Linked DNA regions of Caenorhabditis elegans. The protein of the gene in region 2 purifies or fractionates together with the protein of the main gene of each other region. This does not show direct contact. Each region holds a gene or a part of one and is shown on either strand. Other genes may lie near its edges.

Region 1 (4,754 bases), on a different chromosome or scaffold from region 2:
CTATTGTGTGTTGTAGAACGGGAAAAGGCCTTAATAGTTCCGGTTTGTTGTATTTATGGGTGTCAGCAGCTGATCGTGAGTACTCTTTGACCATTTTCGTCGGATCTGCAACGTATTTTGACCGGGGTCCTGAACTAGTCGATGCAGTAGCTTCTAATTGATCTATCAGATGATTCCGGCTTCGAAAATTTATTTCAGCGACTGGGCACATTGATTCACACGAGGCCATTTCTGAATGAAGCGAAAATATTTTAAAATAAAATAAACTGAAGAAAAAATTCATCAGAGCGCAGTTTCTCTCCACGCAAAAATCGATTTCGAAAAGCGACGAAGCACGAGTTCTTTTACCAGAAATAGATAACAAATGAATCCCAACACCAGTGTCTTTCGATACAAATTCTAAATTAGACGTCTTGCATGATTTATTGAGATATTTATCAAAATACACGCAGATAGTAACAAGAATTTATTGGAACAACAAAAACAAGTGACAGATCATTGAGCTGGGATCTCGATCTCTCCATTGGCGATCGACTCGATGATGTCGTGTGGGTGTTGTCCATCAATTGTGCATCCAACGGATTGGGCTGTTCCTGAAAAAATACAATATTTAGAAACAGTTTATCGTTTTCGAAATATTACCAAGGATCTCCTTGACGGTTCCTTCAAGTTTCTTGGCCATCGATCTTGGTCTCATGATTCTGGCGATCTTGATGATGGTGTCAACAGTGAGGTCTCCATTGTGCTTCACTGAAATGGAAACGTGCAAAACGTTAAACTAGATTGATTAAACAACCCGTTGGGACGAGACAACACCAAACCCAGGAAAAATCAAACTCACGGAGCATGAAAATCACTTAGGTTACTAGTCTTTAAGTCACAAACTTTTACAAACTTATGAAGTAAGAGACCAGGGGATGAGAGCATATCGACTCCCGACCCAACGCATTAAATGCGTACCGTTCTTGACCTTCTTGCGGTCACGTGGTGGCTCCTTGAGCTCCTTGACGATGAGGGAAGCAGCAGATGGGACAACGTCGATCTTGGCAACACGGTTCTGGATGGTCAATTTGCAGGTGACCTTAAGACCCTTCCAGTCTTGGGTGGCCTTGGCGATGTCTTCTCCGATCTTCTTTGGAGACAATCCAAGTGGTCCGACCTTTGGGGCAAGAGCGGAGGTGGCTCCGACTTCTCCTCCGACGCAACGGAGGTACACTGAAAAGTGAAAATGATGCAAAAGAGTTTTTCAAAAATCACGATGATGAAATCTTTGACAAATTGAAAATCACGCATAATACGTCAAATACCTAATTAAATGTGCACAAAAATGAGCAACTTACCGATCTTAATCTCAGTTGGGTCGAACTTTGGTGGCATGATGAGTGACGTCTACCAGGGATACCGGCGGTGACAAAAGTGAGAAAAAATTCGTCGCGAGGACTTGGCGCCGGCGAATTGACTCCGTATCACAATGGTTGTTGCGTCGCTACGCAGCGAATTGTCGATGTCAATTTTCAAACAACATTAACTGTGGAGCGCACTTGCATTATTTTTGTTTAATCAAATTTCGGCGCGCGAAACAATTTTTTAATCCTTTTTTTGGGTGTTTTTTAAATTTATTAATATTAAATCTTATTGAATTATTGATTTTCAAGAAATAAGTTACTAATTTAACATTTTTGAAAGTATTTAGACGGCGAAAAATGAAATTTTGGTTCAAAAAGGAACGTAAATAAGTTGTATTTCATCCTCAAAACGATGTTCTTTTTTTTTTGTTGGGAATTTTCTGGCAAGATAACTTAATTTCTTTTCGTTTAATCTCTTTCCAAATGCTAAAACATTGTTTTCCTGATTAGTTATTTTTCAGTATTTTCAGTGTTGACAATGAATCAAGGAGAAATCGTTTATCAAGACGACGATGATTATTACGACGAATCGGAGATATACGATAATTATGAAGAAGGTGCCGAATTTATCGAAGTTAATGGACAGCTTGTGCCTCATAATCCAGTAATTTGTTTTCAATTCGAAATAAAAATAAACTTTTCTCAGAACTTACAGGCGCAGCAAAATCGTCCGGGAACCTCGAGTATGATTCAACAGCATAATCGATCAATGGAAGTTAATCAGGGATTGGTCAAAGACGAACCAATTGATACATCATCGCATCGCGTCTACGTCCCCCCTCCGAGACCAGTTCAGCGAAAAGTAATTTTAAAAATTTTCGATTTTTTACGAATTGACTAACCTCTTTGGAAGCTTTTTCAGCCTGGGCCCAGCACTCCCGGATCGTCTCAGTACACTGTGCGGAATTTGTCCAATTTATCGGGTTCACCTTCAATGTACGATCGACAGCCCGCTTCATTACGTTCGTAAACTAGAGATCTTTTGTCCTAATAATTATTTTATTTAAGCTAGAACAGTGCAACCAATGGGCTTGGAGATGGGAAATTCTGAACAGCGAAAAGTTTACATCGATATGAAAGATCACGTTAGTCATATTAGATTGAAAACTAAAAAGTAAAGAACTCAAATTTTGTAACTTTTCACTAATTCCTCTATTTTTCAAGAAAAGTATTTGCACCTGGCCAGCGGAAACCATGCAATTGCACGAAATCTCAATGCCTCAAGCTCTACTGTGATTGTTTCGCCAATGGAGAGTTCTGTCGTGACTGCAATTGCAAGGATTGTCACAATAATATAGAATACGACAGTCAGCGTTCAAAAGCCATCCGTCAGTCACTTGAGCGAAATCCGAACGCTTTCAAGCCAAAAATTGGTATTGCTCGTGGAGGTATTACCGACATCGAACGTCTTCATCAGAAAGGATGTCACTGTAAAAAGAGTGGTTGTCTGAAAAACTATTGTGAGTGTTATGAAGCAAAGGTTCCGTGTACCGATCGATGCAAGTGCAAAGGATGTCAGAATACTGAAACATACAGAATGACAAGATACAAGGTGCAATTTCCTATAATTCAGTTTAAAAAATGGAGTAACGATTCTGGATTTTTCGAACGTATAGGCTAACAAATGTGCTCAAATTAACAAGTTTTGTTTGGCAGTTCAAAATTCCGAAAAAGGCTAATTTTGATCACTTTTCCGTGTCCCAGCGGTCGGAAGCTGACTTTTTTTGAATTATCATCTTTTATTGAATATTTTGGTATTTTATCTGACGTTATTTCATTGATTAAGGTACATTTAAAGCTGATCGGTAACCAATTTCGATCATTTTTGGTCACCTCTCGGCCTTAAATGTACTTTAATTGATGAAATTTTTAAAAAAACGTTAGATAAAATACCAAAATATGCAATAAAAGATGATAATTTTAAAAATGTCAATTTCCGACCGCTTCGACGCGGAAAAGTGGCCAAAATTGAATATTTTAGCTCAAATTTCACCTTTTTCAAATTTAAAAAAATCATATTTTGGATCTCTATACGTTCAAAATACCGCAATTCTTGCAATAAATTTAATTTCTTATTCAAATTTTAATTTCAGAACTCCGGTGGTGCCGTGTCCAATACGAATGCCCTGATGTCATTGACCAACGCTTCCAGCACAGCGACTCCAGATTCTGGTCCGGGAAGTGTGGTGACCGATGAGCATGGAGACGACTACGAGGATATGCTTCTTTCGCATAAACCGAAGGTCGAGATGGATCCTAGACGCTTCCCGTGGTACTATATGACCGATGAAGTCGTTGAGGCAGCCACTATGTGCATGGTTGCTCAAGCTGAAGAAGCTGTTAGTTGGAAAATCAATTGGTTTCCTATTGAATTTAATTTTTTTTCTTTGCAGTTAAACTACGAAAAAGTGCAAACCGAAGACGAAAAACTCATCAATATGGAGAAGCTTGTCCTTCGTGAATTCGGCCGCTGTCTCGAACAAATGATCACAAACACAACTGAGCTCACACAAGATCTTGATGCCGCTCCAACGGATGACATCCCAGGACCATCTACTAGTACTTCTTAACTATTCGCATTAAAATTATTATCAATTTTATCACAGTTGCGCGATCTTTTATGATCTCACCTCTCACACATTCTTTGCCTTCCTCCCCTCCTCTCAATGCTTTTACAGATTCACAAGTTGCCTTCTTTCAAAGTTGTCAAATAAAAAATGATCAGAAAAATTTGTTTCATTTTTACTAACTCACCTGCGTCTCTTCAATTTTAGAAATTATTGTGTTATATTTATGAAGTTTTGTGTCTTTTTTTTATTATTTGGCAGCATAGTTGCACATTTGTTCCCAGCAAAGTAATTATTTCGAGAAATGTTTGATTTTTTGATTCAGAAGTTTAAATTAAATTTTAATTGCGTATTGTGCGCCGAAACACGCTCCTATTTTAAACAAAGCTATTCAGGAGTGTTTCGGCGCACAATATGCATCGCTGGTCTGCGATTAAAATTAAAATTAATTTTTATTGTGCAAAAAATAATTAAAATGCGAATTAGTACACCTTTAAAACCTAGAAAATTTATTAGAAATGTCAGAAAACGAGCTGAGCGCCGAGGACACTGCATTTCTGGAAAAAGCCTTCGAATTGGCTCAAGAAGCTTTAGATGAAGATGAAGTTCCAGTTGGATGTGTATTTGTGGTCAATGGAACAGAAATTGGAAGAGGTCGGAATCGTGTGAACGAGACCGGTGATCCGACAAGGCATGCTGAGATGGTAGCAGTCACTGAAATGTGGAAAGAGCACGGAACGGGCTGCGAGGATCTGCTCAAAAAATCCACGCTCTACGTTTC
Region 2 (7,963 bases):
TCCTTCACATTTATGTCAAATTGAGTGAAATTTACAATATGCTTAATAGGGATCAGAAACTTGGACCGGTTGTTCAGAATTTTAGCTTTCTTCCATTGCTCGAGTTCCACAACGCCATTTATCGGCTCATAGTACTTTAGGAATTGAGCTTGGAGAGTTATTTCTTCGAGAATTTCAGGTTCGAACTTCTGAAGTATTTCAGAAACTTCACGGGCGGTGAAGTCATCGATAATCACTTTTTTCGCTTTTAACTTGAAGTTTAAGGATTCGAAAAATGACTCAATTGCCTTTAAAATGATTTTTCTTTCATTAAAATTGTTGGTAGCCAGCTGTATCAGAAATTCATCAACTTCAGGGTACTTCACCAAGCTCTTCAAGTCCTCCATCAACATTTCAACGTGGTTCCTTCCAGCATGTACTCGGCCACTGTTCTTATATTCAACTTGGCAGGCTCCATCAACTTGCTCATAGGTAACCCCGCCGTAGTTCTCATCGAGAATTAGTCTTGAAAATTTTTCATGAAAATTTACATGAACCGTCTTCAGATTTGGACCGAGGTTATCGATTATTGCTCGGAAGCTGTAGGACACTTTTCGAGCGATTAGCCTGAATTTTCAATGCTTTTTTTCTTTAAAAAAACAAGGAAAACTCACCTTTCCAAAGCTTCCAGATTATTCAAAATTTGTTCAATAAGTTCGATTGGCAAGTCGGAGAGTGATGACATTTTGAGAAATTTGAAGAAAAAATGAAGTGATTTCAACACAGTTCTCTGTGACTAGTGGCCTAGTTGGACAGCGCAGAGACGCAGGCGCACCAGCTGACTAGAGAGTATGAGAATCAGACACCGAAGGTGTTTCAGAACTGGCCGCCAACTTGAACCTGTAAAATGTAGGCACAGCTTGAACCCTTGGCTTTAAATAAAATGTAGTCTTAGTTTGAAACCATGTGTATTCAGACAGGCTTTTCACTGTCTTACTTCCAGAAATTTCAGGAGTCGCATACGAAATTTACGTAGCAGTCATCGAAATTTTAAACAGAAAGCTAAGACCTGCGGCTAAGCCTGAGACTAATTTTAGGCCAAATTTTTGAGCCTAAGCCTAACTATTAGTTAGACCTTCTTATGTATTTGGCGATGGCAAAACGGTAATATCGAAGATTTTCAATTATTTTTGCCATTTTTCAAACAGTTCATGTGTATTCGTATTAAAACATTGTAGGGGTCGAAACATGCGACATTTCTTTAAATTTCCTCAAAAGCTCGTATTCAAAATTTTGGTAAATTGCCAAAAATTTTTTTTTGAAGTTTTATTATGATATTTGATCTTTTTTACACTATTGGAGTAGTTTTTAACACTTTCCCCACTGACGCTACTCCACCTTTAATAACGTGGTGACGTCACAATCTTTTTGTAGATCAAACCGGCATGGGACAGCCTGACACCACGTGAAAATACCAAAGGAGGCGAAATTTTACAAATTCAATTTTTGTTAAAACTGATTTGAGCCCACAAAAACAAAAAAGTGATGGCTAAAAAAAAGTGATGGTTAATTTCACGACACTACTTGAATAACCCCATTTTATCTGAATTTACGGTTTTGCCGCCAAATACCTAACGGGGCCCAATTTTTTTGGGTTCTAACTTTTTTTGTCTTCAAATTCAAATTTCCCCTTATTATACATTCAAAAAACCACGTACTTCTTTCATTTTTATCTTCTCATTCAAGCGAAACTTTTTCCCGCGGAAATTTGAGTGCAAGCGCGCTCCACTGCACCTTTCTCGTCTGCGTCTCCACCTTTCCCATTGTCTCTAATCCGTGACGAAACCTCATCATTTCTCGCATTTTGGAGGGGAATTCAAATTGATTTCTCTTGGTTTTTCTCGTTTTTTCTTGATTTTTCTCGTTTTTCAGCTCATTTTTAACCAAAAAATCGGATTTTTCAACTAAAATTCCGCATTTCAGCCATGGAAGACTCGTACAACGACATGGAAGACCCCGGCTTCCGCCAATTATCTGACATGGAGCTTCAAAAAGCGCTGGAAATGACCAAACAGAGCTCGATAAAGAACAATTTGATGCTCGGGCTCGACAATGAGCTTGACTTTGATTTTGGTACAATATTTGTCGAATTTTAAGCCGAAAACCCCGAAATTTCCAGATTTCGACGAGGATGAGGACCTGGATCAACCACAAATGGGCACACGAGCCGATAAATCGTTGGGATTGTTGGCGAAACGATTTATTCGAATGATTCAGTACTCACCGTATGGAAGATGCGATTTGAACACTGTATTTTTGAAAAAAATCGTGAATTTCGCAATTTTCGTATTTTTTAGGCCGCCGAGGCGCTCAATGTCCGGCAAAAGCGACGAATCTACGATATTACGAATGTTCTCGAAGGAATTGGTCTTATTGAGAAAAGAAGCAAGAATATGATACAGTGGAAGTAAGAAAGTCGAATTTTCAGCAGGAAAAATGACGTTTTTCAATGAATCGGCGGAAAATCGTATTTTAACAAGAAAAATGACATGTTTAGAAAAAAAATCAATTTTGTGTCAAAATATTGATTTTTCAGCTCAAAAAGCTTAAAATGCAAGAAATTTCGGAAAATTTCAGATTTTTACGTGAAAAATCGCATTTTCAGCCAAAAAATGGCGCTTTCCGGCAAAATGGATGAAAATCACATTTTTTGGAATATAGCTCCTATTTCCTGTAAAAATCGATAAATTCGATTTCTAAAACACTAATTTTTGAGATTTTTCACCGAAACAAATCGAATTTTCATATGAAAATTTCATTTTTGACACAAAATCACTTTTTAAAGTTAAATTTTCAATTCAAAGCTCAATTTTGTGGCAAAATCCTTATTTTTCAGCTTAAAAACATGAAAATTGCTGAAAATTTCAGATTTTTACGTGGAAAATCGGGTTTTCAGCCAGAAAACACAAGAAAAGGTCATTTTTAACACAAAATTACATTTTCAAAGCCAATTTTTCTATAATAGCCTCAATTTCGCTCCAATTTCGGTGAAAATCTCTATTTTCCGGCTCAAAAACCGCTTTTTTGCACATTTTTCCCCGGAAAACTCAATTTTTTGTTTTCAGAGGCGGTGATTTTATGCTAAACGTGAAGGAAGGGAAACGACAATCGGCCACAACAGAAGAAGAAGATCGAATGGAACAATTAAAAGCTGAAATTGAGCAATTAAATAAGGAAGAAGAGCTCATTGAGCAACGTCAAAGATGGCTTCAGCAGGTAGCGAATTTCCAGAAAATTTGATGAAAAATTTGCTGAAAATCGATGAAAATTGAGCCAAATTTACGCAAAAATTGGCTGAAAAATGACCAAAAATTTCAGAAAAATTCAGCCGAAAATTGAGAATTATTTGCTGAAAGTCGCTAAAAATTTGATCAAAATTGAGCAAAAACTGGCTAATTTTGATAGAAAATTGAGCAAAAATCACTGGAAATAAGGCTGGAAATTGGAAAAAATTTAACCAAAAAGTCCTGAAAAAAATAGAAAAATTCAGTCGAAAATTCTGGAAAAATATGGCTGAACATCATTAAAAATTGAGCCGAAATTTAGAAATAATGGGGCTGAAAATCGCTGAAAAAAGCTGAAAATTTGACTTAACTTCCTGAAAAATTAGTCTGAAAATCGTTGAAAACTGCTGAAATTTTGCCAAAATTTCCTCCAATTTTCTGAAAAAAATATGGATGAAATTTCGAGAAAATCAAGATAAAAATGGTGCCAAAATGATGAAAATTTTGTAAAATAAATTCTGGAAATTTCGGCTAAAAATTGCTTGAAATTGGTCCAAAACTGCTGAAATTTGGCAGAAAATTTCTTAAAAATTCAGTCAAAACTTCTGGAAAATTCGCTGAAAAATGGTCAAAAATTCATTAAAATTGCGGACAATTTTTCTGAAAATTTATAGGAAATTTCAGGCAATCTGAGCCAAATTTTCCACAATTTTTTTTTGAAATTTTTGGTCAATTTTTCGACAGTTTTAAGCCAAAACCGCTGAAATTCTCAAATTTCAGAGCCTCCGAAACATGACAGAATCCGTGGAGAACAACAAGCTCAGCTATGTGCTCCGTTCACAGCTCGCCGAGATTCAAGGCTCAGATCTTACGATTGGAATTCAAACGAGAGTCGGCACACAAGTTCGGCTCAGTGATCCGGAGGTAGAGAAGAAAATGACGCGAAAATTGGAATTTTCAATGAAAATTTAATGGAAAAACCTGGAAAATTGTGGAAAATTCATATTTTTCTTGGAAAAAACGGGTACAAAACCCGATTTTAACTGAAAAAAACGCTGATTTTTGCTCAAAATTAATTCTTTTTAAGAATTTTCGATGAGAAAAATGAATTTTTTAATTTAAAATACATAAAAAACTAGAAGACTGTCCAAAAACCGAAATTTCTGTCAAAAAAGTGTAAAAACTTCTCCTCGTGGAGTACACGAGCTGCGTAAATCTACGCAATATTTTTCTGTGTTTTTTGTATGCAAATTTGTAAAAAAAATATCAAAAAAATAAATTTTTGGCTGAAAAACGGTGAAACATAATTTTAAACAATATTTAAATACAAATTATTTGTTCTAAAAATTTTTTAAAAATTCTTAAATTTCCCTGATTTTTAGCAAAAATAACGAAAATTCTTCAAAAAATTTGATTTTCTGCTAAAAAAAGTGTAAAAGCCTCCCCTCGGGGAGTACACGGGCTGCGTAAATCTACACAAATAATTTTTTTCAGCTAAAAATTGATAAAACGAAAAAATTAAATAAAAATGTTAAAAAAAAAGAAGAAACTTTTTCAATTTTTAGAAAAAAAAAAGAAAAAAAAAGCTCCTTTTTCCAAAAAAAAGCAGAATTTTTTTTTGTAAATTTCCCAAAATTTGGCGAGTTTTCATTTTTTTTTTGTTGTAAATTTGACGATTTTCGTAAAACTGTCGTAAAATACAAAAAAATAGACTTTTTTTCGAAATATTTTGTTAAAAATCAGAAAAAAAATTTTTTTTAATTGATTTTAAAATTCACAGAATTTTTTTCGATAAATTTCAGAAAATTCCTGAAAAAACTGAAAAAGATTTTCAAAAAAAAAAACGCAATTTTCGCTCTATTTGGCTCTAAAAAACAAGACAATTAAACAAAAATCAGAATAAAAATTTTAAAAAAATTGTTTATAAAATTTTTGATAAATTTTAGAAAATTTCGGAAAAATCTTCTTTTTTTTCAAAAAAAAAATCGAACATTTTCAATTTTTATTTTCCCCCATTTTTTCCAATGAAATTAAAATTGCAGCAAGTCGATTTTTGATCGAAAAAAAGCATTATTTCTATGTGAAATGCATAAAAACCTATTACGGGAACAATAAATCATGAGAATGCGTACTTGGTGCATTTTATTTGACGCGCGATATCTCTTAGCGAAAACTACATACAGTAAATGCTTAAATATCTATTGTTATTTGAGTTCTTACTGTAGTTTTCGCTAAGAGATATCGCGCGTCAAATAAAATGCACCAAGTACGCATTCTCATGATATATTGTTCCCGTAATAGAAGACTGCCCAAAAACTGAATCTTCTGTCAAAAAAGTGTAAAAGCTTGTCCTCGGGGACTACGAGCTGCGTAAATCTACACAATATTTTCCTGTTTTTTTTCTCAATTTTCGCTTTTTTTTTTGTATGCAAATTTGTAAAAAATATCAACAAAAATTTTTTTTTGGCTGAAGAACGACGAAAAATAATTTTAAACAATTTACAAATCATTTGTTCTAAAAAATTTTTTTTAAATCACACTTGTTTCTTAAATTTCCCTGATTTTTAGCAAAAATAACGAACATTCTTCAAAAAATTTGATTTTCTGCTGAAAAAGTGTAAAAGCCTCTCCTCGGGGAGTACACGAGCTGCGTAAATCTACACAAATAATTTTTTTTTTGGATAAAAAATTGATAAAACGAAAAAATTAAATAAAAACGTAAAAAAAAGAAGAAACATTTTCAATTTTTAGAAAAAAAAAAAAGGAAAAAAATGCTCTTTTTTTCCAAAAAAAAAGCAGAATTTTTTTGTAAATTTCCCAAAATTTGGCGAGTTTTCATTTTTTTTTTGTTGTAAATTTGACGATTTTCGTAAAACTGTCGTAAAATACAAAAAAATAGACTTTTTTTCAAAATATTTTGTTAAAAACACAAAATTTTGTAAAAAATCCGAACAAAAATTATTAAAAAATTCATAGAATTTTTTTTGATAAATTTCAAAAAATTCCTGAAAAAACTGAAAAAGATTTTCAAAAAAAAACGCAATTTTCGCTCTATTTGGCTCTAAAAAACAAGACAAATTAAAAAATATCAGAATAAAAATTTTTAAAAAAATTGTTTATAAAATTTTTGATAAATTTTAGAAAATTCCGGAAAAATCTTCTTTTTTTTCAAAAAAAAATTTTCAATTTTTATTTTCCCCCATTTTTTCCAATGAAATTTTAAAAAAATTGCAGAAAGTCGATTTTTGATCGAAAAAAAGCATTATTTCTATGTGAAATGCATAAAAACCTAGAAAACTGTCCAAAAACCGAAATTTCTGCCAAAAAAACTAAAAACTTCTCTTCGGGGACTACACAAGCTGCGTAAATCTACACAAAAAATTTTTGTGTTTTTTTTTTCTCAGTTTTCGCTTTTTTTGTATGCAAATTTGTAAAAAAGTATTTAAAAAATAAATTTTTGGCTGAAAAACGACGAAAAATAAATTCTAAAAATTTACAAATTATTTGTTCTAAAAGATTTTGAAAAAATTACACTTGTTTCTTAAATTCAGCAAAAGCAGAATTTTTTTGTAAATTTCGCACAATTTGGCGGTTTTTTAATGGAAATTTGACGATTTTCATAAAATTGTCGTAAAATACAAAAAAAATAGTTTTTTTTCAAAATATTTTGTTAAAAATCAGAAAAAAAATTTTTTTTAATTGATTTTAAAATTCACAGAATTTTTTTTCGATAAATTTCAGAAAATTCCTGAAAAAACTGAAAAAGATTTTCAAAAAAAAAAACGCAATTTTCGCTCTATTTGGCTCTAAAAAACAAGACAATTAAAAAAAAATCAGAATAAAAATTTTAAAAAAATTGTTTATAAAATTTTTGATAAATTTTAGAAAATTCCGGAAAAAATTTTTTTTTTCAACAAAAAATCGAAAATTTTCAATTTTTATTTTTTCCCCATTTTTTCCAATAAAAAAAATTGCAGCAAGTCGAGATACACGGTGGACCATCTTGGTGTTACCTGAAAGATCCCTCTGGACCCCTCCGAGCCGCCATCGTTTCCAACCATGAGCTACATGATTTTGTACAGAGAGAACGAGCAAAACGGCCTGGTGAAGAGCACGTTGACGCTGATGCTCCAGATGAAATGATGGATGATTCAAGATATCGGAATCGGCGGACGATCAATGATGATGAAATGTTTGGTTTTGAGCAGAAAGGTGCTGCTGAATTGCTGGAAATTTTGCTTATTTTTTAAAGCAGAATTTTGAGAAAAAATGGATTTTTTTCACTGAAAGTAGCTAAAAAATAGCTTAAAAATGAAGAATTTTGAAAAAAAAAATTGGAAAAATCATCATTTTTTCCAAGAAAACACCAAAAAAACTGGACTTTTATGGACGTTTTTTCGAAGCTAAAAAATCCAAAAAATTTACTTTTTCTGATAAAAAACATTTTCCTTTTGTTTTCTGCACCGTTTTCTAGAGTTTTTCGAATCGAAAAATAATTCTCAGATTTTTTCACATGAAAATTTGAAATTTAAGCGAAAAAAACATCAAAACTGTTTTTTAACAAAAAAAATTGAAAAAAAAAACCGGAAAACCTAGAAATCCGCCAAAAAATTTGAGAAAATTTTCACAAAAAAAAGCATAAACTGAATTACATAAAATTCTTTTAAAAATTACAGAAAAACTGGGAAAATTTGGGAAAA
Region 3 (4,763 bases), on a different chromosome or scaffold from region 2:
ACATCGATGGATGGCTTTTGGTAGATCCATTTTAGTGTTCAAGATTCCAGATTTCGGACTTGAAATATCGTTTACTCCAGCCAAACAGACTCCTTTCAGCATTGTACTTCTGAAAAATATCACTGTTACTTCCAAGAAAAACTCAAAAACTTTGTAAAACTTACTCGTTTTCAAGAACATTAATACGGCCATTTTTGTAGAATCTTATCCATTCCTGAACGTCTCCATAATAATATTCATGATTGCCAGTTACGAAATAAGTAGGTGCGTGAGCAGGGAGTTGACTGAAAACAAAAATTGAAATTTTGTGAATCAAACTAATTCGCCTACAGAATTGGTCGAACTCTATCCTCGATTTCCGCAACAGGAGCATCTACCATATCTCCAACAATCAGAATAGCATCAACTGGATTTTCAAGCACTTTTTCGACAACTTGATTGATTTGTTCCGAATAAACACTTGCACCAGCGTGCAAATCAGAGATCACTGCCAATTTTAATCGATTTCCATCAGCAGTGAAGTTTTTTATTTTGATGGTCTTTTCTTTGACAACAATCCAATCGCGTGATATAAACATACTGACTGACAGAAGCAAGGTGATTATCATTGTGAATCTGAAAATAACATTTTTAATGATAAGTTCCGAAATGAGATGTTTTTTGTTACTTTATTTGAGATCTTCTTTTCCACATGAGATCGTTAAAATAAGGAACCTTTCCTATTATTTCCAAAATCGAAGCGGTGTAATGGAACATCTGAGAAAATTTTTTTAAAATAATTTAAATATTATTGAAATTAATATTACCTTCATTTTTCCAGCATAGAAATTAACAATCCCAAATCCACATACGAATGCAATCATGTTAGTCCATATTCCCGCGCAGATTGAGGTGAGATCGAAGAGAAGCCACTGAAATGCAAGAGACTCTTTTAACAGCAACACAATTTCTAAAAACAAACCTGGAGAAATGCTGGGGCATAATACATAAAATAAATCGCTTGTCCGAGAACTAGGAAAATAATAAGGCCATCCGAGCATCGTTTCCGGATTGTCTGAAATGAGAATAGGTCAGTTTTTGGTGAGAAGAAGATTTAATCGATTTGAAGAGAAAAATAGTTATGGTCTTTGAAATCGTAGCAGGAAAACAAAATAAATTTTTATTTAAAAGCAAATTCTTGTTTTGCTAACTTTTTCCAACAAGAATATTGCAATTTGTTGAAATTTCAGTGTCGAACGAAAAAAAAAGAAAATTTTGTTCAGCAACAACACTCCGCCTTGACACCTCTCGCGTTGTTTATCGTCATTGATGGGTCTCGCAACGCACGGCGCGTCTTCAAATTTGGGTTTTTTCTGTTTTCCTCCATCTTCCGAATATTATTGATTTCTCTCACGTATTGATCAAAAATTGTTCTGGTTAACGTTTGTATTGCAGCGTTCTTAAAAACCGATAAAATTTAGATTTAGAACAGAAAAGAATCAGTTTTTTACGATGGCAACAAAATATCATTCATTATTCTTATAATTAACACTTTTCGTAGCTTTTCTCGTAATCAAAGTCATCATTTACAGATCTAAGCAATCGAAAATCTTGATTCGTCCAGGCAGGTCCTGTAGAAATGAACCCGGTTTGTAAAATAAGAAATCGATATTATATTAAACTAACATTTGCAGACAAACTACGATCCCCGTATCGGCCAACCGGCACAAAGTCGACCACAAGTATCCCTGAGTATGGGAAGACGAATTGTTCAAATGCCTACAGGTCTTCCTCGTTCATACCAAGATGAGAGTCACAATGAACCTGTGGGCTGGGATGAACCTTCGGGAGTTGGAGGATCTAGTGGAGCAGGAGGTCAACAATCTGACAAACCAACCGGACTCAGACATTTTTCCACGAAAGTTTGTGAAAAGGTGAAAGAAAAAGGATTGACGAATTACAATGAAGTGGCTGATGAACTGGTAGCAGATTACTTTCAAAATAATCTTATCAAGCAGATTGATGTTGTGGTAAGAAGTTTGTTTTTCTTCTTTTGAAAAAAAACTTTTTTTTTCTAGAAACAAGAATACGATATGAAAAATATTCGGAGGAGAGTATACGATGCGTTGAACGTTCTTTTGGCAATGAATATCATCACAAAAAGCAAGAAAGATATCAGATGGATTGGACTTCCTGCTTCAGCTTCACAAGAAATTTCGAGATTGGAAGAAGAGAAATCGCGACGGGAAGCCAGCATAAGTTCCAAAAAGCAGGCTCTCGAAGAAATGGTATTGCAAATTGTTTCTTACAAAAATTTGGTCGAACGGAATAGAAAAAATGAGCAGTACGTTTGAGTGTTAAATATTTTAGAAAAGTTAAATTTTCAGCAAAAATGGTCGCCCAGAAAACGACACTGTACTTCATCTTCCGTTTTTAATAATTAATACTGATAAAGAGTAAGTTGAAATTCCAAAATTATAATAGTCTCAAATATCTATTTTTAAGAGCAAATGTGGAATGCAGTGTATCATCAGACAAATCCGAATTTCTGTTCTCGTTCGACAAGAAGTTTGAAATTCACGATGATTTCGAAATTTTAAAAAGTAAATTTAAATGCCAAAAACCGATAAGATCCACATTTTTCAGAGTTGAACCTTGCATGCAGTTTGGAGACTACAAATCCCACAGCGGAAGAAGTCAAAACTGCGAAAAGCTTTTTGCCAACCTTACACCAGCACTATGTCGACGAAATCATTGCCAGTAAGTATTTCTTTTTAAAAATCAATCATGGAAACCACAATTTTCAGACCGTAAAAAGGTTGAAGCAGAAAAAGAGGAAAAGAGAAAACAACAACAGTTGATTGCTGATCAAATGTCTATGAACCTCTCACAAGCCCAATACGTTGAGCCGACAAGCTCTTTGGCGCAAATGTCATATTCATCGCGATTCAACAGACAGCTTCAGGAGCATTTGATAAACGATGGAAGTGAGGACAGAAGTGGTAAAAAAGTTTTTTAAAAACATTAAAAAAATTGTTTTTTCTAGCTGCTGCCGGTATAATGGAACGCGATTATGATATGGATAAGAATGTTAATCAGGGATCAGCCAGCCGAGGGCCAATGTATAATACTTATAGTCCACAAAAGATTCGAGCTCAAGTTAACACGCCTCTTCAAGTACCACCCGTTACCAAACGATATTACGTACAGAAGACACAAGGACCAATGAAGGTTTGTTCAAAATGAAGATTTTTCAGTACAACTAAAACATTTTCAGCATGATATGACTCCCGTCGTTCGAACTGTCAATCGGCCGTACTCTACTGTACCTCCAGATCGCAGGCTCTCAACTGGAGCTACTTCTGTGAATTCAGGACCTGTAAAATACTACGTGCCACAAGGACATCAACCGATGCATCAGCCAGTTGGTCAGAGATATGTAAGTTCGTTTTAAAGATTTCACAAACTGATTTTTCTTATTTTTCAGAGAGTTCGTCCACAGCAACCACAAATGAGTCATATGGGTCAGCCACATCAAGTGCAACAGAGAGTTGTCTATCCTGCTGGAAGCATTTCTGGACATCAGTTACAACCTGGACAACGAATCGTAACTCAGCGAATTGTTGCTCCAGGTGGTCCACACCCGCCGGGCACAATTGTTCGGAAAGTGATTCGTAAAATTGTTGTCAACAATCCAAAGCAATCTCCAGCTCAACAAGTTATACAAAAGAAAATGATGGAGCAAGGTAATTTAAATTTGCCTTAAATAATTTAAATAATTTAATTTCAGATATGTGCACATTTGAACGCAAAACGGAACAGCCGATGACTTCTGCGCAGGCCGCTGCTCTCATTCAACACCCTCAACCGGAGGAATACGATTATTTCCAGTAAATGTTTAATGTAACTAGTTGTTATCCCCCTTTTCCCAGTTTTTAAAGGTTCTCAAACGATTCTCATCTGCTTTTAAAATAGTTTCTATACGAGTTTCAATTTTATTTCTAGACTCCTTTAAAATCCCCTCTTCTTTAATCTTTAAAATAGTATAGTCTTCTTCGTCGATTCTATTCCGACATTTGCCAGATTAGAATTGACGACAGATTTCATAATCTACCTTTTACATTATTATTTTGTGTTCAATTTGACATTTTGAAATATGCTTCTTATATGCCCCGACTTTGACAGCATTATATGTAACTCAATGCTCCCGATTTTACCATCATTTTTTATGAAAGAATGATAGATTATAATTTTTAGTTTTACCTGCATTTTTCGGCGATCCAACGATTTCTCCTTGACAATGTCATCGTCGAACCATCTCATCAGCTGGCCGTATGCAAACACATTTAACAGAGTTAAAATGCACTTTAATTGGATTAAATTAATTAGATTTTTTAATTAGAAGAAGCAACTCACTTCAATGCGGAACACGGCAATGACTCGACGGCGGTTACCAACTAAATATCCTTCCACTGATTCAATCTGGAATATGATATCTTATAGAAAAAACTGGGCTTATGTAAATCAACTCACCCAAAATCTTGAGCAATACGTGAGCAGAATCCAGGAGATAACCGAGCCAAAAACGAGAAATCGCTCGAAACTCATCTGAAATTGAAACTGCGAAGACATACTCACTCGAGATCTTTTTTCTGATCGCTTTTCCTGTTTAGCATAGAATTGTCAATGTTCTCTCTCAGTTTATCGCCCAAACTCATCTCCTTACATCCGATTTCTATCGGGAGAAGGAGAAAATTTAGAGAATGACCATTTCAAAAGTACGT

What was found.
Region 1: the proteins of efl-1 (region 2) and lin-54 purify together in Caenorhabditis elegans (affinity purification with western blotting, with the first as the bait; one study listed by BioGRID). This does not show direct contact.
Region 3: the proteins of efl-1 (region 2) and dpl-1 purify together in Caenorhabditis elegans (affinity purification with western blotting; 2 studies listed by BioGRID). This does not show direct contact.

Annotation. Positions count from the first base shown.
Region 1 is NC_003282.8:13,239,184-13,243,937, forward strand, and holds lin-54 (Protein lin-54), read left to right. Parts: upstream 1-1,867; 5' UTR 1,868-1,884; coding exon 1,885-2,010; intron 2,011-2,052; coding exon 2,053-2,208; intron 2,209-2,259; coding exon 2,260-2,368; intron 2,369-2,414; coding exon 2,415-2,520; intron 2,521-2,570; coding exon 2,571-2,958; intron 2,959-3,499; coding exon 3,500-3,745; intron 3,746-3,799; coding exon 3,800-3,976; 3' UTR 3,977-4,218; downstream 4,219-4,754. Other genes in the region: tag-115 (SAC3/GANP/THP3 conserved domain-containing protein), read right to left, coding at 1-229; rpl-12 (Large ribosomal subunit protein uL11), read right to left, coding at 496-593, 643-750, 961-1,215, 1,341-1,377; JC8.4 (CMP/dCMP-type deaminase domain-containing protein), read left to right, coding at 4,492-4,754. UniProt on the Caenorhabditis elegans protein: Synthetic multivulva class B (synMuvB) protein. SynMuvB proteins are required to repress the induction of vulval development by Ras signaling and probably act by forming the multiprotein DRM complex that repress transcription.
Region 2 is NC_003283.11:16,959,675-16,967,637, reverse strand, and holds the start of efl-1 (E2F/DP family winged-helix DNA-binding domain-containing protein), read left to right. Parts: upstream 1-1,962; 5' UTR 1,963-1,964; coding exon 1,965-2,112; intron 2,113-2,158; coding exon 2,159-2,289; intron 2,290-2,336; coding exon 2,337-2,446; intron 2,447-3,104; coding exon 3,105-3,255; intron 3,256-4,043; coding exon 4,044-4,187; intron 4,188-7,240; coding exon 7,241-7,475; intron 7,476-7,963. Other genes in the region: fbxa-90 (F-box domain-containing protein), read right to left, coding at 1-606, 654-724.
Region 3 is NC_003280.10:9,168,339-9,173,101, forward strand, and holds dpl-1 (Transcription factor dpl-1), read left to right. Parts: upstream 1-1,571; 5' UTR 1,572-1,618; coding exon 1,619-1,627; intron 1,628-1,673; coding exon 1,674-2,009; intron 2,010-2,057; coding exon 2,058-2,323; intron 2,324-2,366; coding exon 2,367-2,435; intron 2,436-2,484; coding exon 2,485-2,582; intron 2,583-2,625; coding exon 2,626-2,739; intron 2,740-2,786; coding exon 2,787-2,981; intron 2,982-3,025; coding exon 3,026-3,210; intron 3,211-3,256; coding exon 3,257-3,418; intron 3,419-3,466; coding exon 3,467-3,725; intron 3,726-3,769; coding exon 3,770-3,873; 3' UTR 3,874-4,227; downstream 4,228-4,763. Other genes in the region: T23G7.2 (Calcineurin-like phosphoesterase domain-containing protein), read right to left, coding at 1-109, 165-284, 331-615, 668-756, 807-911, 962-1,054, 4,243-4,344, 4,396-4,461 and 1 more. UniProt on the Caenorhabditis elegans protein: Synthetic multivulva class B (synMuvB) protein. SynMuvB proteins are required to repress the induction of vulval development by Ras signaling and probably act by forming the multiprotein DRM complex that represses transcription.